2 linked regions of the Stegostoma tigrinum genome follow. The protein of the gene in region 2 purifies or fractionates together with the protein of the main gene of each other region. This does not show direct contact. Links are inferred from orthologs where the notes say so. Each region holds a gene or a part of one and is shown on either strand. Other genes may lie near its edges. The genes, in order: rbm17 and cherp.

Region 1 (10,621 bases), on a different chromosome or scaffold from region 2:
TGTGTCTTGCACTCATCACTATAGACACAAGAATGCCAAATTGCAAAGGGAATGACAAAATAAACTGCATGGGAAAAGGGGAAGATTAGTCAGCAAGTAGACTCGGATTGGCAGATGCAATGCCAGGAATGCAGGCCACACATTCCAACTGCTGAGACTCAATACGTAACCTTCTCTCCCCACAGTTGCTGGTAGACCTGCTGAGTTTCTCCAGCATTCTCTGTGTTTGTCTCAAAGTGCTAACTTACACTTGGGAGAAACTAGATATATTCATACCTATCCCCTAACTTATCCCCTAACAGCAGAAAGAACATGTCAACCAATTGCATCTTTTTCAAAATTAACAATAATTTCACATTGAATGCTCTGTGGCAATCTGCTAACCAACTGTGGTCAACTTGCTAAACAACCAACGTGTGTGGAATTCTTGCTTCTGTCCTTGTGAATTACGAGACCAAAACTGTCAGCAAATAAAATGTTCAAAACCAATAAAAAAACATAACTCATCAAATCCTAAAGAGTCTTACCTTTAAGCCAGATGCTATATGAGGTGGTGTGTCAACGATCTGCCTGTCATCCCCAGAGGTGCCTCGTTTGAGGTCTATAACTGGAGCTAAAACTGTGCTCTGCTTTGAGCGCTGGGTCTAGAAGCAATCGCAGACATGAATTAGAACCAGTGTCAACTTCTACCAAAAGAACAAAGTCTTCCAACTGAAAAGATAGTAAACTCAAAAAGGAAATAAGTCTTTAATAAATCATCCCACCACAATACATTAACAGTAACATATCTCCAGCTGATAAACATTATCAGAAACAGAAGTTCATAGACGATAAACTGTGTGAGTAATCAGTAAGTGATAAAAGTTATTCAGACTTGTTTATCATAATTAGATCATTTTTCTTTTTAAAAATAATTTTTATCCTCTTCACCCTTCAATGGTATTTGCACCTTGCTTCCGCATAAAAGGGGGGAGCAGGGGGACTAGCCAATATTTCCAATCATTATCCATCTTCCAGGAACAGAAACAAACTGATCATTAACTTTTCCTTCATCTCAAGTGCTGGATGAAGATCAGGCACCAGCAAAGACTAGAAGCATCGTAAGCCAAAACACACAGCCTTCAGTTCTCAGGGTCATTTCACCTGAGCTCACCGAGTGTTGAGTGGGCATTAGTAACAAGAGAAGGACAAAGAATCCACAATGGATTGCAGTACATTTTACGAGAAGATCTCAAAAGCTGAATGCAGGAGAAGTTCTCTGCTCACACCAACACCGAATGGTTGAAGAAGGTACCTCTGACGGAGCTTGCCCAACAGTTGACCTTCCCGTATGAAAATGTGACCGAGTTTCCATTATACTGTACTTCGAGCCTGGCTTGTAAATAAAGAGGTGAAAAATAAGAAGTATTACCTTCGCTTGTGTAAGCGTAGCTTTCTTCACCTGCAGCTGAGACTGAAGGAGTTTGAAATTTTTTGACCAGCCCTCTGTCTTTGAGTCGCTGGTCTCAACCCCCAAATCATCGTACAGGGACATTTCACCTTCCCTTCACGGCTGCAATGAACAGGAAATAAAATCACACTTGCATAAAGTGACAAATTCATCAAGTAAGTAACTCCAAACCTTCAGAGTTTTTTTTAAAGCAACATTTCAGCATTCAGACAACATTTCACATTCTACTCCTCTCCTACAAATTCGAGTGATCCTTCTGAGGCCCCAGAGAAAGGAAGAGTTTATTTATGGTTAACATTTACTTGTGTGAAAAAAAACAATGCAAACCAGCAGGAGTCAATTCACTACTGAGTGGTCTGGGGGAGAAAAGCAGAAACAGATGAGAACATGAAGGAAAAATAATACATTTGTTGTAAATCTGAAAAAAAACAAAGCCTCAGAAGCACCAAGCAAATTAATGTAATTGATCAAACAAACAAAAGTTGACTGTGGTTTTAGCAACAATCTGAACTAAAATACATTACCAATAAAAAAAATTAGAAGGAACATCACAATAAAGAAAAGGGAAGGGAGAGAAAATGCCATGAGCGTAAATGCAGAATAACACAGGATTTGTAACTGTGGGAATCAGAAAATGATTAAAGTTTAGAAACGAGGTGTGCATGCAACCACAGAAACACAGAGAATTGGAAGAGTTAATGGGTGAAATCAATAAGTGGAATGGGAGGTACTTGCCTCCGGTCACAAAGTCTTGGATTCAAGGCCCTTCTAAAACCACATCACCCAGACAGATAATTCTCTACACTACTTAATAACTGTATTCAAAGTGATAAAAACTACAAGTATCAGTTGATTTAATTTCAATCATTTTCAGATGTGGCTAACAGGTTGTGCAATTTAAGACTAAATATATAAAGAAAGGTTCAGTGATCTCCCAGTGGGTAAATTGTTTTATATTCAAAGCAGCCACACAGAAGAAAAAGAGTTAGTGAGGCTGGCAATATTGAAGAGTTTGAGGAACAGGAAGTAGACTGATAGGGATTTAAAATGTCATCCAAAGAGTCAATGTGGTGCCTCAAGCCCCTACAGTCTGCCCACAACATAACAGGTCCTCAGAAGATGCCCTAGCCCTGCACTCTTCCTGGAGCATTTAGACATCAAAGACACCTATGTCAGACTCCTGCTCATGGACCACAGGTCTGCCTTCAACATCATTATCCCCTCCAGGCTGATCTCAAAATTCCATGACATTGATCTTGGCTCCTCTGCAACTGGGTCCTCAGCTTTCTGACCCATAGGCTGCAATCAGTGAGGATGGCTAACTCCTTCGCAATAACACTCAACACTGGAACCCTGCCCACCCCCACCAAGGATCCATCTTCAGCCCCCTACTGTACTCCCTGTACACCTACACTGTGTTGCCAAATTCGGAACGAACGCTATCTATAAGTTCGCTGACAACACCACCATAGTGGGACAGATATCTAACAACAATGGGTCAAAGTACGGAAGGGAAATGGAGGACTTGGTGAAGAGGTGCAATGAAAATAATCTGTCTCTCAATATCGACAAGACTAAAGAAGTGATTATGGACTTCAGAAAGAAAGGAGAACACGCCCCCACCTACATCAACAGAACTGAGGTTGAGAGAGGGAACAGCATCAAGTTTGTCGGAGAGATGATAACCAACAACCTGTCCTGGATTTCCCACACAGATGCAACAGTCAAGAAGGGTCAACCTGGTAATGATCTCCTACAACCTCTTCCATGAGGCAGAAGATACAGAAACCTCAACACACACACAAGCAGGTTCAGAAACAGCTTTTTTCTGTAGGAGGAGTAGGATATGAAATGTGGCTTTAGAAAAGAACTGTGAAAGTGATGAATGGACTCTACCCTCCAACAATGTAACCTGTATGTCTCCAAGTCTTTTTCATCTGTACCCCCTTTGCTTGCTGTGAGCTTCCTTTACCGCTCGTAAACAAAGCTTCTCACAATATTTCATGACACCTGACAATAAAACCAATCAATCAAAAAGCAAACGAGGGAGGGACTAGGGATGATGGGGGGTATCGATAAAGGCGGGAGAAATCAATGGAGGGAGGGGGAGGGGAGAATCAATGAGAGGCAAGAGGGATCAATGAGAGGCAAGGGGGTACAATGAGGGGGAATCGGGGGGGGGGATGAGGGGGAATCGGGGGGGGGGATGAGGGGGAGTCGGGGGGGGGGATGAGGGGGAATCGGGGGGGGGGGGATGAGGGGGAATCGGGGGGGGGGGGGATGAGGGGGAATCGGGGGGGGGGGGGATGAGGGGGAATCGGGGGGGGGGGGGGGATGAGGGGGAATCGGGGGGGGGGGGGGATGAGGGGGAATCGGGGGGGGGGGGATGAGGGGGAATCGGGGGGGGGGGGGATGAGGGGGAATCGGGGGGGGGGGGGATGAGGGGGAATCGGGGGGGGGGGGGATGAGGGGGAATCGGGGGGGGGGGGATGAGGGGGATGAGGGGGGGGGGGGATGAGGGGGAATCGGGGGGGGGGGGATGAGGGGGAATCGGGGGGGGGGGGATGAGGGGGAATCGGGGGGGGGGGATGAGGGGGAATCGGGGGGGGGGGGATGAGGGGGAATCGGGGGGGGGGGGGGATGAGGGGGAATCGGGGGGGGGGGGATGAGGGGGAATCGGGGGGGGGGGGATGAGGGGGAATCGGGGGGGGGGGGGATGAGGGGGAATCGGGGGGGGGGGGGATGAGGGGGAATCGGGGGGGGGGGGATGAGGGGGAATCGGGGGGGGGGGGGATGAGGGGGAATCGGGGGGGGGGATGAGGGGGAATCGGGGGGGGGGGATGAGGGGGAATCGGGGGGGGGGGATGAGGGGGAATCGGGGGGGGGGGATGAGGGGGAATCGGGGGGGGGGGATGAGGGGGAATCGGGGGGGGGGGGATGAGGGGGAATCGGGGGGGGGGGATGAGGGGGAATCGGGGGGGGGGGGATGAGGGGGAATCGGGGGGGGGGGATGAGGGGGAATCGGGGGGGGGGGGATGAGGGGGAATCGGGGGGGGGGGGATGAGGGGGAATCGGGGGGGGGGGGATGAGGGGGAATCGGGGGGGGGGGATGAGGGGGAATCGGGGGGGGGGGGATGAGGGGGAATCGGGGGGGGGGGGATGAGGGGGAATCGGGGGGGGGGATGAGGGGGAATCGGGGGGGGGATGAGGGGGAATCGGGGGGGGGGATGAGGGGGAATCGGGGGGGGGGATGAGGGGGAATCGGGGGGGGGGGATGAGGGGGAATCGGGGGGGGGGTGAGGGGGAATCGGGGGGGGGGTGAGGGGGAATCGGGGGGGGGAATCGAGACCGGGGGGGGCGTAATTTGAAGATAAATATTAAGGTGACGATGGCGGGAGGTGGGGGGGGGGGGGCTCCAGTCTGACGCGGGGCCGCGCTGAGGCCTAAATCCTCGGCGTCAATTTCAGCAGCTCCCCCCTCCCTCCCTCCGGGCCGCGCGCTACCCCTCACCGGTTCCTGCTGCCGCCCCCTCTGTCTCTGTCTCTGTCTCTGTCCCCCCGAGGGGGAGGGGGGTAAGGTGTGGGGGTTGGGGGGGGGGGGGGGTGCGGGTTGTTGTTGTCCTTTCGCCCCGCGAGGCCCTGAGCGCGGCGGCTGCTCACCGGAAGCTTGGGCCCAGGGTCCATCCACATCGCGGCTCCGGGGGGAAACACGGAGCGGCCCCGCCGCAGAAACGGTCCCTCCCCCGCCGCACACAACAATAAACCGAAAGCTGCAGCTGTCCGCCCGCAAACCCACTGTGTTCACCCTCGGGTTACAGTTTTTTAAAATTTTATCCCTTTAAAATATATTTACACATCCACCACACCCCCACCTCAATTACACGCACACACGCTGGAGACAGTCCATCTATCCACTTGGTCAGTCAGTGCACCTGGCAATTCGACTGCAGCAAGCATCACGGTCAAGTCTGCCTTCAGCCTCGCATCTGTCCTTGAGCATTAGATCCACCGTTTGAATGGAGTACCATTTCAAGTGGTCATTCACGTACTTCTTTTTTAAAAAACTTAACCAGAATTGCTCTTACATACAGCTGAATGTTTTGTTTTCCCCGTCACCAACTCGCCCATGGCCCAAGTGATTTTTAAAGGCTGTGAGAATTACCTGCTTCTTCATCATTTACCTACTGCCAAACTCCTGCTTTCTCCTCACACCCTTGACAGGTAACATGCAAGAATGGAAACTGTGCCAACTTTGTGTTCTTCACTTGAAAGTCTTGCAACTTGATAAGGAATGTTTTTGTGAGCCGCAGCAGAAGGTCCTGAAACAGTTTACAGCCAGTTATGCATTTTTTATGAAGGAAAGGGCAGTCATTGTTGTATTGGACACTAGCAAGGTCCCATAGATAGACAGGAAAGTCTGATTTAGTTGCACAGCTTTAGGGATCAATGTTGGTTTGAACGACAGGAAAATCTCTCCTGCTGTTCTTTTAAATGATGCCATGGGATCTTGTACAATCACCTGAGAGGGGTAAAAAAACAGGCCGCGAGCACCTCACGAACTGCGACAGTGCAGCTTTCCCTCAGTACTGCACCAGAGGCCAGTTGATTGTGGTTAAGCCCCAACTTTGACACAGAAACAGAAGCGCTGTCACTGAGCCACAATGGGTCAACTGTTCTTTGGGAGTTGATCAATGAGTGACTCCGGACACACCGACTGTCTCACTCACTTTTCAAGTGCAGCATGGCAGCTCAGCGGTTAGCACTGCTGCCTCACAGCGCCAGGGACCTGGGTTTCAATTGTACCCTCAGGCAACTGCCTGTGTGAAGGCTTGCACATTCTCCCTGTGTCTGTATGGGTTTCCTCACACAACCTGAAGATAGGCAGGCTAGGCCAGTTAGCCATGGAAAATGCAGGGTTATAAGGTGGTTTGGGTGGGATGCCCTTTAGAGGGGCAGTCTGAACTTGATGGACCAAATGGCCTGCTTCCGCACTGTAGGGTTTCTATGATTTCTGTGAAGTATCATGCCTAAGGAGGGTATTGATAATCATGGACCTCCATCAGATTAGTCCATGTTGCAGACTGATAATCACCCTGTGGACTGTATTACGGTACCCTTCCATGGCCATCGGGACCTGAACTCAGAGCTTTACCTGCTGTACTACAAAACCTCCCCCTCGGGACTCTAAAATTTTAAAAATAAATTAGTATCAATGTTTGGGGAAGTGTTTGAAGTGAGATATTTCGAGGTGAAAAGGGCAGTGAAAGTCCATTGAAACAAATGAGCCGTATTATTTTGCGAGGTATTATCAAAGCAGATCAAATAGAAAATGAAACATGGTCAAATTGGGAAAATTATAATTTACAACAAAACAGCATTTATGATTTATTTATACTCATTCACAGGATGTGGGCATCACTGGCTAGGCAGCATTTATTGCCCATCCCTAATTGCCCAGAGGGCAGTTAAAAGCCAACCACATTGCTGTGGGTCTGGAGTCACATATAGGCCAGAGCAGTTTCCATTAGTGAACCAGATGGACTTTTCTGACGATCAGCGATGGATTCATGGTCGTCGTTAGACATTTAATTCCAGATTTTTATTGAATTCAAATTCCACTGTGTGCCTTGACAAATTTTGAAGCCAGGCCCCCAGAACAATTACCTGGGTCTCCAAATGAATGGTCTCACGATAACACCACTGGGCCGCTGCATCCCCAAAGCAAAAATGAGAAAAAGCGAGCAAAATCCTGGCCCGGACTTGTAAAGTAGGTGGAACTTTAAGTGTGAGTTTTAGGTTGTGTTGGGACTGTTGTGTTGTCTGAACAGGGGTGGCGGCACCATGGGGAGCTTGGCCGCTGCTGCGAGATGTTTCAGGAAAATGAGAAGAGCCCCCTCCACCCGGCTTTTCCAGGGGGCAGGCACCACGGGAAATGTATCGGTTATTTATACACCAGGCCGCTGGGCCAGTGAAAGAGCTCAATGTGATAAACTGACTGTCAGAACTCAGAAGGATGGGATCAGGTTGGTGGGGGCATGGACTGACCCAGACGCTACCCACTAGAAATTACACAGGTTCAGGGCACTGTTCTTCTTCGGGTAAATTGGGATGGGGTTGGCAATACTAGCCTTCTGCAGAGCTGGGAAAGCAGTGGCCCGGTGGTATCATCGCTGGACTGTCAATCCAGAGACCTCTGCGAATGCCCTGGGGACTCAGGTTCGAATCCCGCCCGGGGAGGATGGTGGAACAGTACAAAAAGAAAACATCTGACCCTGAACTCGTCGCTGCTGATCCCATCTGGTTCACCAATATCCTTCGGGGACGGAAACTGCCATCCTGTGGCTCCTGGCACACTGTTATGTGGTTGGCCCTCAGCTACCCCGTGGGCAGTTAGGGAGGGGCAATAAATGCTGCCCTCACCGGAAATGCCCCCGTTCAGGGAATAACAAACACAGGGGGCCAATCCAGTTACGAAAGACTTGAGCAGTAGTTTGTGGGAGGTGTTCAAATGCAAAGTCAAAGAGGCTGCTTTCCTAAATGGACAACAAAACAGAGATATTTAAGATTTGCCAAGGGCGTAACAAACAGGAATAGGCCGTTCGGCCCCTCAAGCCTGCTCCATTCAATAAGATCATGGCCGATCCAACACTCCTCACATTCACTCTCCTGCATTTTCCCCATAAACTTTGACTCCTCAACTGGCCAAGAACTTATTCGGCCTTGAATATACACAAGGACTCCATCCTCGCAGCTTCATGTTGGCAAGAAGTCCCAAAGACTCACAACCCTTTGAGAGAAGAAATTCCTCTTCATCTCAGTCTCAAATTGCCAACCGTTCATTCTGAGGGGATACTGTGTGAACCCAGACTCTCCCATGATGGAAAACATCCTCTAAGCATTTACCCTGTTGAGCCCCTGAAGAAACCTGTATGTTTCAATGGGGTGTCACCTTTCTCCTCTCTCAATTTCAGTGAGTACAGGCCCAACCTACTGAACGTCGCCTCATAAAGCAGTCCCTCCCTTCCTGGTATCTCTGGGCTGCCTCCATTGTCAGTGTGTCTCTAGAAAATAGTTTGTCTCCTGTCTAGGTCCATCGTTCTGAATAACCCACAGAAGAGGAATGCTCTGTCGCTGGCCATGTTGGAATCTCTGCGCACCAACCTCCTCCACGAAGCAGAAAGCAATGACCTGCGCGTTATTGTCATATCAGGTAATTCCAGCATGGGTTTTAACATTTAACACACCTACTTAGATCATGGGGTAAAGTAAAACGAAGCTAGGGAAATGAGACTGATGGCACGGTGGCTCAGTGCTTAGCACTGCTGCCTCACAGCGCCAGGGACCCGGGTTCGATTCCAGCCTCGGGCGACTGTCTGTGCGGAGTTTGCACATTCTCCCCGTGTCTGCGTGGGTTTCCTCCGGGTGCTCCGGTTTCCTCCCACAGTCCAAAGATGTGCGGGCTAGGTGGATCGGCCATGGGAAATTGGTCATAGCATACAGTAGACATAGATTCTACATGGGAAATGCAGGGTAGATCTGGGTGAGATACTGTTTGGAGGGTTGGTGTGGACTTGATGGGCTGAGTGGCCTGCTTGCACGCAGTAGGGATACTATGAATGCTCTCTTTGTACCTTTAAAAAGTACTTGGATGAGCACTGGAAATGTCGTCACATTCAGGGCTGTGGGGCTAGTGTTGTACTGGTGATATTTTTGACAGTACAGATTCTATGGGCCGAAGGCCTCTGCGATTCTACGATTCTACTGGCTTAGATGATCCCATGTAGTGCACTAATTGAGGCGTTATAAATCACTCTGGGAGATATAGTGGCAAATTAGTGAGTGCTCACTCCAGCTCCTGGTTTCTGTCTTCTGCATTGATTCAGGGTTTAGGTAAGCTCGGGAGCAGGCTGTGGGCTGGAACATGCAAAGGAGACAACTGTCAAACCTCACACAGGAAACCTGGGACAACCACCAGCGGGAGGGGGGAGTATAGCTGCAGCAAAACCATATCCCAGGAAAAAGTTAGCTTCTCCAGAGAGAAGAAACAGGGTAAAAATCACGCGGGGAACTGAATTATGAGTAACATACAACTTAGGAGCATATGTAGGCCATTCAGACCCTAAATCCGACACTACTGTTCAATAAGACCGTGGCTGATCTGTTCCACATTCCCAACTATCCCCAATAACCCCCGATTCATCTGCCTAACAAGAATGTCTTTAGAAACACTGAAAGAACTGTGGATGCTGGAAATCAGAAATTGCTGGAGGTCTGGCAGCACCTGTGGAGAGAAAGCAGAGTTAACGTTTCGAATCCAGTAACCCTCAGAACCAATCTGAATCTGTCTACCTTGTCTTTCAAAATATTCAATTAACCCCATCCACTGCCTTCCAAGGCAGAGGGTTCTAATGGTGGACAACACTGAGAAAAAAAGATATCTCTTCAGCTCTGACCTGAAAAAGGTGATCCTAATTTTAAAGCAGCACCTCTGGCTTCTGGTCTCCTTTCCACGAACACCCATCACGACCTTCCAGGATTTTGTACATATCATTCAAGTCACCTGCTACTTTCGTAAAACCACTAGAAACAAAAGCAGCCCTGTCTCTATTTGTCAGAAAACAATCCGCTCCTTCCAATAAGTTTCCTTTGATCAGCCTCCACTTTATTTCCATCTTTCTTTACATAAAGAGACAAAAACCATGCACAGTTTGGAGAGGCGGCCTCACCGAAGCCTTTGTACAACTGGGTCTGTCAGGTAACCGTACCTCAGGAGGGAGAGCTAGATGGAATGAGTACCCCTGCTACTGACCCCGTTTAGCGATCAAAGGGCTACTTCACCCAAGCTCTGGGCCTTCCTGCCTCCTCTACAACCCCACGTTCCACCTCCCCCATCTCCAGGTTTAAATAGCCAAGGGATGTCCCTGATTAGTGGGAAAGCGATCACCACCGACTTCTCTGCTGCTAGGGTAGGAGACAGAGCCAGCAGAAACATTCTGGCTATGTCTTTGGTTCAACAGTCCAGTAAACAAGGGTTTGATGGACTGAATGGCCTCTGTCATCTGTAAACTTCTGTGAAAAACATCTCGGCTCTCTCTCAAGCTGTCTCCGTCTCTCGCCGTGTTACAAAATTGTTCTGGTGCAGAAGTGGCCATCTCACCCATTATGTATGTAC
Region 2 (10,233 bases):
GAACTCCTCCACCTTAGGGCAAAGACTTTTGCTCTTCACCTTATCTATGCCCCTCCTGATTTTATAAACCTCAACAAAGTCACCCTTCAACCTATGTTCCAGACAAAAAATCCCAGCCTATCCAGCCACACTCTATTACTTAAATCCTCCTTTCCTGGCAACATCCTGTAAATCTGTTCTGAACCCTCTCCAGTCTATTAATATTCTTCCCATAACAGGGTGACCAAACTGCACATAGTCCACCCATCACAAGGTTTACATTTGTGAGAAGAGGCCTCAACAACAACCTGTACAACCTTAACATAAGTTCCAAACTCTTATACCCAAAGGTCCGAGCAATGAAAGCAAGCATGCTAAATGGTTTATTAACTACCTTGTCTACCTTGACACAAATTCCAAAGAATTATGTACCTGAACCCCTAGGTTTCTGTTCCACAACACTACCCAGGGCTCTACAATTAATTGTTTACAATTAATCTACTCTTGCCTGTTAAATGAAATTGCAATACCTCTCATTTATCCAGCTTAATCTCCATCTGCCACTCCTCAACCCATTGATCCAACTGATCAAGACCTCCTAGTACTCTGAGGTAACCTTCTTCGATGCCCACTATAACAGCAATTTGGGTATCACACACAAACGTATTACCTATGTCCTTTATATTCTCGTCTAAAGCACGTACATAAATGATAAAAGTGAACCCAGTACCAAGCCCTGTGGAATGCTGCTGGTCACAGGCCTCTAGACCAAAAAACAACTCTTGAGAACCAGAGATAACAAGGTGTCGAGCTGGATGAACACAGCAGGCTGAGCAGCATCAGAGGAGCAGGAAGGCTGACGTTTCGGGCCTAGACCCTTCTTCAGAAATGGGGGAGGAGAACAGGGTTCTGAAATAAATAGGGAGCAAGGGTGAGGCAGATCGAAGATGGATAAAGGAGAAGATAGGTGGAGAGGAGACAGTCAAGTTAAAGGGGGGGGGATGAAGCCAGTAAAGGTGAGTGTAGGTGGGAAGTTAGGGAGGAGATAAGTCAGTCCACGAAGTTCAGACAGGTCAAGGGGGCAGGATAAGGTTAGTAGGTAGGAGATGGGGGTTGGGCTTGAGGTGGGAGGGGGGATAGGTGGGAGGGAGGTAAGGTTAGGGAGGCAGGGATGAACTGGGCTGGTTTTGGGATGCGGTGGGGGAGGGGAGATTCTGTGGAGTCCACATTGATAGGAACCACTCTTGTCTCCTACTGTAAAGCCAATTTCATAGACAATTATAAGATAATAAAGTGTGAAGCTGGATGAACACAGCAGGCCAAGCAGTATCTCAGGAGCACAAAAGCTGACGTTTCAGGCCTAGATTCTTCATCAGAGAGGGGGACGGGGTGAGGGTTCTGGAATAAATAGGGAGAGAGGGGGAGGCGGACGGAAGATGGAGAGAAAAGAAGATAGGTGGAGAGAAGAGTATAGGTGGGGAGATAGGGAGTGGATAAGACAGTCCAGGGAAGACGGACAGGTCAAGGAGGTGGGATGAGGTTAGTAGGTAGGAAATGGAGGTGCGGCTTGAGGTGGGAGGAAGGGATGGGTGAGAGGAAGAACAGGTTAGGGAGGCAGAGACAGGCTGGGCTGGTTTTGGATTGCAGTGGGGGAGGGGATGAGCTGAGCTGGTTGTGTGATGCAGTGGGGGGAGGGGACGAACTGGGCTGGTTTTGGGATGTGGTGGGGGAAGGGGAGATTTTGAAGCTGGTGAAGTCCACATTGATATCATTGGGCTGCAGGGTTCCCAAGCGAAATATGAGTTGCTATTCCTGCAACCTTCGGGTGGCATCATTGTGGCACTGCAGGAGGCCCATGATGGACATGTCATCTAAAGAATGGGAGGGGGGAGTTAAAATGGTTTGCGACTGAGAGGTGTAGTTGTTTATTGCGAACCAAGCGGAGGTGTTCTGCAAAGCGGTCCCCAAGGCTCCGCTTGGTTTCCCCAATGTAGAGGATGCCACACCGGGTACAATGGATACAGTATACCACACTGGCAGATGTGCAGGTGAACCTCTGCTTAATATGGAAAGTCATCTTGGGGCCTGGGATAGGGGTGAGGGGGAGGTGTGGGGGCAAGCGTAGCACTTCCTGCGGTTGCAGGGGAAGGTGCCAGGTGTGGTGGAGCAAACAAGGGAGTCACGGAGACAGTGGTCTCTCCGGAAAGCAGACAAGGATGGGGATGGAAAAATGTCTTGGGTGGTGGGGTCGGATTGTAGATGGCGGAAGTGTCGGAGGATGACGCATTGTATCCGGAGGTTGGTGGGGTGGTGTGACAGAACGAGGGGGATCCTCTTTGGGCGGTTGTGGCGGGGACTGGGTGTGAGGGATGTGTTGCGGGAAATGCGGATTAACCTGAAATATCAGCTTTGCTTCTTTCTCCAATGTTGTTGCTTGGTCTGGTGAATATTTCCAGTGTCTACAGCATTTTGTTTCTGTGTACATGCTAGCAGTTCATAGGGAAAGTCAGTTTCATAGGGAAAGATGGCAACAGTCATTTTCAACAACTAAGGTAATTTAAGTCCATAAGCAATAGGAGCAGTAGGCTATGCAGTCCATCATGCCTGCCTTGCCATACAGTGAGATTATGGCTGAACTACACCAAGCCTCAAATCTGCTTTCATGCCAGCTCCTATAGCCCTCAACACCTTGAATTTTCAAAAATCTTCCCATGTCTTCAAACGCACTGAGTGACCTAACCTTCACAATGAAAAGATAGAGAATGTCAGACATTCATAATCCTCTGGGAGAAGAAATTCCTACATGCCTCAGTTTCAAAAAAAAAATTGTCATTACAGTCCCTAACTCGAATGAAAAAATCTCAACAGATATCCTATCAAGTCCCTTCAGAATCTTGTACATTTCAACGGGCAACACGGTGGCTCAGTGTTTAGCACTGCTACCTCAAAGCACCAGAGGACCGGGTTCGATTCAACCCTTGGGCGATGTCCATGTGGAGTTTGCACATAGAACATTACAGCACAGTACAGGCCCTTCGGTCCTCGGTGTTGTGCCGACCTGTCATGCTGATCTGAAGCCCATCTAACCTACACTATTCCATATGCTTATCTAATGACGACTTAAATGTACCTAAAATTGGCGAATCTACTACCGTCGCAGGCAAAGCAGGGTTTCCCACAGTCCAAAGATGTGCAGGCTAGGTGGATTGGCGGTGCTAAATTGCCTGTCGTGTTCAGGGATCTGTGGATTGGGTGGGCTATAGGATGATGGGTCTGGATGGGATGCCCCAAGTGACAGTGGGGCCTTGTTTGGCCAAAGAGCCTGTTTCTGTATTGTAGAGTTTCTATTACCTAAGATCACCCTTCATTCTAATGAATAAAGGCCTAAAATGTTTAGCGGTTCACGATAAGTCAATTCCCTCATCCCAGGAAGGAGGCCACTGAATCTTTTTAGCACTGCCTCTAATACTAGTATATCTATTTTTAAATGCAACAACCTAAACTGCACACTGTACTCCAACTGCAGCCTCACCTACACCTATAGAGTTGTAACAGGGGTTTCCTGCTTTTAATATTCAAGCCATAAGCCACAAAGATATACATTCAATTTGCCTTCCTAATTATTTGCTTAATTTGCATGTTAACATTTTGTATTTTGTGAACACAAGTATGTAGATCCCACCATGGTGCATGCATTTTTTTTGGAGTCTCTCTCTCACCATGAAGTAATAACTTGCCTATTGATTCTTCCTATCAAAGTGTACGACCTCACACTTTTCTCCATCAAACTTCATCTGCCAGCATTTTCCCAGTACTGTGAATAGTGCCGTTGAATCTGGCAGACATTCTACGGAGGCCTAATCTCTTAAAGCAACACGTGATTTTTTTCAAGATAATAAAATGTGAGGCTGGATGAACACAGCAGGCCAAGCAGCATCTCAGGAGCACAAAAGCTGACGTTTCGGGCCTAGACCCTTCATCAGAGAGGGGTTTTTTGATTTTTTTTCTCCATGTTCAAGTCTACAGTGATACTTGATGTTGTGATGACACTTTGAACAAAGAATACCTTTTGTCAACAGGTATCAAACCACTACTCTTGACCAGTTTTGTTACTGTAAAGCAAATTTTCCCCATCCAAAGAATTCCTGTGCTATCCGAGAAACCCAGCTACATTAATACTTTCAGTGCAACAGCATAGGTTAAGTTTGAGTAAGTATGATATTTCTGAAAATTATGTAAACATCTGTATCGGTGAAAGTTAGATTAAAGCTGAAGAAATAAGGCAGAGTGTCAAGTCCTCTACACCTTTATTTTCTTGAAGGAGGGTCACATTTTGTAGATTACAAAACAAAATTTCAGAACGCTGAAGCAATGAAAACTTTGCTCAAGAAAAATAAAACTAATCAGAAGATATTATTTTATAGCTTAGTGGGCCGGTCAATCTAGAAGGCTGTGAAACGGTTCAATAAGTCACACCATTGTTTTCATAGGGTGGGGGGAAAACAGGAGTTTTACGTTTAACAGATGTGCCCAAAGAGCCATTCTGAAGCCAACACTGAAGCTTCCGTTCGATTGTCAGGCTAGGTAACAAGCCCTAAGGCCCCATAGCCGCTTTCCCTTCTCCATTGAGGAGTTTTTTTAATAGCCAAGGCCCCCCCAACCAGAACTGTCTGCGCATGCGCAGCTGCCGCCAAGTGACATTCCATGCAAGCGCAGAACCGAGATTGGCGGGCACGCATGCTCGGAGCGGACTAGGGCCCAGATCAGGCCATAGCGGCGCAAGGAAAGGGCCCGTATGTTCCCACACAATAATTTTAATAAAAGACACTTCCCCGCCCAAGTTCGGTTCCAAAGGGGTACATTCCGGCACTCACCCTCAGGAGGCACCGGTATATCCATCGCGGAGGATTTCTCACTGTCCGCACTTCCAGATATAACACTTAAATGTTCATATCACAAATTCAGCACTCCCTCTCCAACGGCAGGCGTCTTCGACCGGAAGGAAAACTGACCGACGGCAGGAATGCACGACAGTGGGTGTGGTTTACACCGCGCCTGCGAACTGTCGGTGAAGGGCGGTCGCGGCGGCCATCTTTGTACGGTGCCAGGCGGCGGCGTGGCTCAGCGGTTAGTGCCAGCGACAAAAACAAAGTTGCTGGAAAAGCTCAGCAGGTCTGGCAGCATCTGTGAAGGAAGAAGACAGAGTTAACGTTTCGGATCTGGTGACCCTTCCTCAGAACTGTGCCAGAGGCCCGGGTTCAATTCCAACCTCTGGAAGCTGCGTGGAGTTTGCACATTCTCCCCGTGGGTTTCCTCCCACAGCCCAAAGATGTCTGGGTTGGGTGGATTAGCCATGGGAAATGTAGGGTTACATGGTTAGGGCGGGATGCTGTTTGGAGGGTTTTTGAGGATTCTAAGGGTCGAATGGCCTGCTTCCACATTGTCGGGGTTCTACCTTTAAATGCTGAGCAGAGATAATGGGAACTGCAGATGCGGGTTGAAGGGTCTAGGCCCGAAACATCAGCTTTTGTGCTCCTGAGATGCTGCTTGGCCTGCTGTGTTCATCCAGCTTCACACTTTGTTATCTACGTTTAAATGCTGTCTGTCTAAAGATGAGTCTGACCCACAGCAGTACCGATCAGCCTGGGGTTTAGTGATGCGTACACCCAGTACATCTCAACTAGAACCGGTACTGAACACCATGCCGTTGGCTCCAGACTGTAGCCTGGTGCTCCCCAACACTGAGTCCAAGTTATTTCTGGCAAACACACTTTTTAAATCAAAAGAAACTGAAGAACTTCAGAGAACCTTTGAGGAACGTTCTGAAGCAGGGTCAGTGGACCCGAAATGTTAACTCTGTTTTCTCCTCCACAGATGCTGCCAGACCTGCTGAGCTTTTCCAGCAACTTTGTTTTTGTTCCTGATTTACAGCATCGCAGTTCTTTTGGTTCTTATGAAGAACTGCAGATGCTGGCAATCAGAAACAAAAAAAGAAATTGCTGGGAAAAACTCAGCAGCTCTGGCACCATCGGTGAAGAGAAAACAGAATTAATATTTTAAATCCAGTGACTGTTCTCCTGCACTCCAATTCTGAAAAAGGTTTACTAAACTTGAAACATTAACACAATTTTACTCGCATGTGGCAGCTGGATGTTTGAGTAGTAGTTACAATATCTTTCATCAAAATGCTAGGAAGGAATCTTTCCAGCAGTTATGGCTTGCCATTGGTGTGTGCTGGAAAGATTTACAAGTTAGTTCTCAATCTGTTTGGCCACTTTCCAAACATATCTTCCTTGTTCATTGAGTCTGGAGTGTGACTCAAACCTGGAGTTTCAGGCTCCGAGACAGGGATTCTACCTACTAATAGGCCACCTCTACATTGGTGAGACCAAGATGAGGCTCAGAGATAGCTTAGATAGGTAGAGTACCTGCACTCTGTTTGTGACAATCAACAACATCTTCCAGCTGCAAACCACTTCAGTTCCCACTCCCTGGATGACATGTCCATCCCGGACCTCCTCAAGTGTCACAATGATGCCACTGGAAACTGGAGGAGCAGTGCCTGTTCTGCCTCATGACCCTACAGCCCAATGCTCTCAACGTGGACTTTACTGGTTTCAAAATCTCCTCATCCCATGACCAACCCTCCCTCTCATCCCCCACCTCCTTGACCTGACGCAACCTGTCCACCTTCTCTGCCACATATCCGCTCCTCCTACCTCACTGACCAATCCCCTATCTGCACTCACCTATCACCATCACACTTACCTTCCCCAGCCCCACCCATCCTCTATTTATTTCAGAGCTCCCTTCCCCCATTTCTGAAGAAGGGTCCTGACCTGAAATATCAACTTTCCTGCTTCTCTGGTGCTGCCTGGCCTGCTATGTTCCTCCAGCTCCACACAGCGTTGGTCTCTCCCCTCATTGAGGATATGATATTTGTGGAGCTTCCTCTTCCAGTAAACTGTTAAAATATCCACTAGTATTAATGACTGGATGTGCAGGACTATGGAACTTGGACCTGGTCCATTGGTTGTGAAATCATGTACCCTGGTCTATCTTTTGCTGTTAATGTGTTTGGCACACAAATAGTCCTGTTTGGTAGCTTCACCACGTTGATACCTCATTTTAAGTATGCCTGGTGCTGTTCCTGATATTCCTACCTACACTCTTCATTGAGCTATAGTTAACATATAAAGAGAGACTGGATTAATTGGGACTGTATTCAGTGGAGTTTAGCACAATGAAGGGAATTTCATGCAATTTTATACATTTATATCAGATTTGGATTGGGTAAATACGGGATGGATGTTCCTGATGACCAGACAGTGTCGAACCAGGGATCACAGTTTAAGGATCTGGAGTAGACCATTTAGGACTGAGGTAAGGCAAAGTTTCTACACTCTGGTAAGCCAGTGAAATTCTCTGCTGGTTGGAAACAAATGAAGCCAAAACATTGAATGTTTTCAAGAAACAGTTAAATGTGATTCTTAGGGCTGAAGACATCAAATATTAAGGGGAGAAAGCAGGAGCAAGGTACTGAGTTGGATGATCAGCCATTATCATATTGAATGGCAGAGCAAGCTGAAAGGCACAAATGGCCTACCTCTGCTCCTGTTTTGAATGTTTCTATAACTCCCTGGCTTAATGTTGGTATTAGAGTGGGGGATATGTTGAACCATGATGTTGCAGATTATGTTGGAGTAATTGTAGATGCCCAGTTTAGCTAGATTTGTTTGAAATCTATACCATTTAGCATGGTGATAGTACTGCCTAACATGGTGAAGGATATTCTCAATGTGAAGAAGGGACTTTATCTCCAGTAATACTATGCAGTGGCCACTCTTATCAATACTATCATAGATACATGCATGTGCAGTAGTTAGATTGGTGAGGTTGAGGTCAAATGTGGGTTTTTTCCCCCCTTGTTGGCTCCTTCACCACCTTCTGTAGACCCACTCTAGCAGCTATGTCCTTTAGAACTTGACCAGCATAGTTGATAATGGTGCTGCCAATTCACCCAGATTACATTGTTTGACCTTGCTATCCTCAGGACTCCAGGTTGTGTTTACCATGGAGAAATACTGATTCATCAGGTGAGAGACATTAAAGGGTCCAGGATTTCAGGCAGAAGCATGAAGAAAAATGTTGTGTGGATACAGAGGTAACTTTATGAAAAGAATACAAACCAATATTTATGTAGGAACCTAACAACCTTGCATTTCCTTTGTCTCTCAATGTTGTAACTTCCTAATTCCACTCTTCCAATTGTTGAAACTTTCACTCAGGAAATCTTCCCTGTTATCACTAGCTTCTAAATTATAGAATTGGTGCAACACCGTAGGAGGCATTTCTCTCAGGTTTCTGCCTGTATCTGCCTCTTCCACCTATTGATACAAAACCAAAAACTGCATGCTGAAAATTTGAAGTAAGAACAGAAAATGATGGCAAACTCAGCATCTGTGAAGAGAAACAGAGTTACCAGTCCAGGTCGATGACCTTCCATCCTTTCACTGGGGTTTTTAGTTTGTATTCCATCTATTGCTGCAACCCCATATTTCATATGTTTGTATTCCAGTATTCAAATACCTGTTTGCCAAATGGCAACCCCTCCCCACAATATTTCTATTTGCAGTTGCCACTCATCCCCTATGAGTAATATCCTAATATCTGATAGGCTGTCCTGAACTCACACATATGCAAAATAGGTGTGGTGGCAGGCAGTCCAGCCCCTCAAGTATGGCAGATTTTAATGTTTTAAATTTTACATTCAAATGTATGCCTGATAAGTTTTGATTTTTCCTTGCTTAACAAGAATCTATCTGCCTTTGCCTTAAAAAATTCAATGATCCACTTCCACTACCTTCTGAAGCAGAGAGTTTCAAAGTCTTACAACTCTGACAAAATAAATCAACTTCATCTCTGATCTAAAAGGACAATCCCTAATTTTGAAACAGTGCCTGTTGGCTCTGGGCTCACCCACAAGGGAATATGTCCTTTCCGCATCAGCCTTGACAAGGCCATTCAGGATCTTAGTTCAATCAAGTCACCCCGACTCTTTGAACTGGTGTGGTGACGCAGCGGCTCAATGGTTAGCACTGCTGCTTTACAGCACCAGGGTCCCAGGCTTGATTCCATCTTCGAGTGACTATCTGTGTGGATTTTGCACATTTCTTCCAGTGTCTGTGTGGGTTTCCTCCGGGTGCTCTGGTTTCCTGCCGCGGTCCAAAGATGTACAAGTTAGGTGGATTGGCCATGGGAAATGCAGGGTTACAGGGATAGGGTAAGAGGGTGGGCCTGGGTAGAATAATCTTTAGAGGGTCGGTGTGGACTTGATGGGCCATTTGGCGTCTTCCACATTGTAGGAATTCTATGAAGCCAGCCCAGCCTGTCTAACAAATCCTCACAAGACAACTTACTCATCAGATATCAAACTAATAAACTGCCTCTGAACCACCTCCATTACATTTACAACCTTCCTGACACTGGGGACCAAAACTACCCATTGTATTCAAGATGTGGCCTCAACAACACTCTGTATAACTGAAGCATAATATCCTTAATTTTATACTCATTCCCTCTCATGGGAAAGGTTAACCTAACATTAGACTTCTTGATTTCATGCTTTCCTGACATACTAACTCAGTGAAGTATGTCTTGTGGGTCTACCTACAGCACATGGACTGCAGTGGCTCAAGAAAGCAGCTCAGCACCATCTTCTCAAGGGCAACTAGGGATAGGCAATAAATGCTGGTCAGCCAGCAATGCCCATGCCCCACAAGTAAATAAACAAAACGGGCGAGACTACCCAGATCCCTCCCTACCTTAGAAATCTGTAGCTGTTCTCCATTTAAATAATGCTTAGTTTTTTACATTCTTCCTGCAAAAGTGAATGATGACTTTTTTTTAACACATTATACTCATCCACCAAGACTTTTTCCACTCACTTAACCTATCTGTATCTAGCTTCAAGATCCATATGTCTTCTTCACAACAGACTTTCTGGTGTCATTTGTGACATTAGCCACCATGCCTCTGGTCCCCTAATTTAACTGATTGAAATAAGCTGTAAAATGTTGGAGACCCAATTGAGTCCCTTGCAGGATTTGTGCAAATTGACTATGTTTTGCCAGCTAGCCAATCATCTACCCATGCAAATATGCTACCCCGCCCCCAATACCGTGAGCTTTTATTTTCAGCAATAACCTTATCAAATACTTTCTGGAAATCCAGGTACAGTATTTCTACAGGCTC

The links.
Region 1: the proteins of cherp (region 2) and rbm17 purify together in Homo sapiens (co-immunoprecipitation; 4 studies listed by BioGRID and IntAct, counting the BioPlex papers as one, with this or other methods). This does not show direct contact. The link is inferred for Stegostoma tigrinum from reciprocal best matches to the Homo sapiens genes CHERP and RBM17.

What each region holds. Positions count from the first base shown.
Region 1 is NC_081378.1:5,884,780-5,895,400, reverse strand, and holds the start of rbm17 (splicing factor 45), read right to left. Parts: upstream 5,204-10,621; 5' UTR 5,110-5,203; intron 5,090-5,109; exon of another isoform or gene 4,961-5,089; intron 1,553-4,960; 5' UTR 1,535-1,552; coding exon 1,412-1,534; intron 645-1,411; coding exon 528-644; intron 1-527. Other genes in the region: echdc3 (enoyl-CoA hydratase domain-containing protein 3, mitochondrial), read left to right, coding at 7,291-7,472, 8,538-8,659. UniProt on the Homo sapiens protein: Splice factor that binds to the single-stranded 3'AG at the exon/intron border and promotes its utilization in the second catalytic step. Involved in the regulation of alternative splicing and the utilization of cryptic splice sites.
Region 2 is NC_081383.1:43,535,707-43,545,939, forward strand, and holds the start of cherp (calcium homeostasis endoplasmic reticulum protein), read right to left. Parts: upstream 4,970-10,233; 5' UTR 4,879-4,969; coding exon 4,854-4,878; intron 1-4,853. UniProt on the Homo sapiens protein: Involved in calcium homeostasis, growth and proliferation.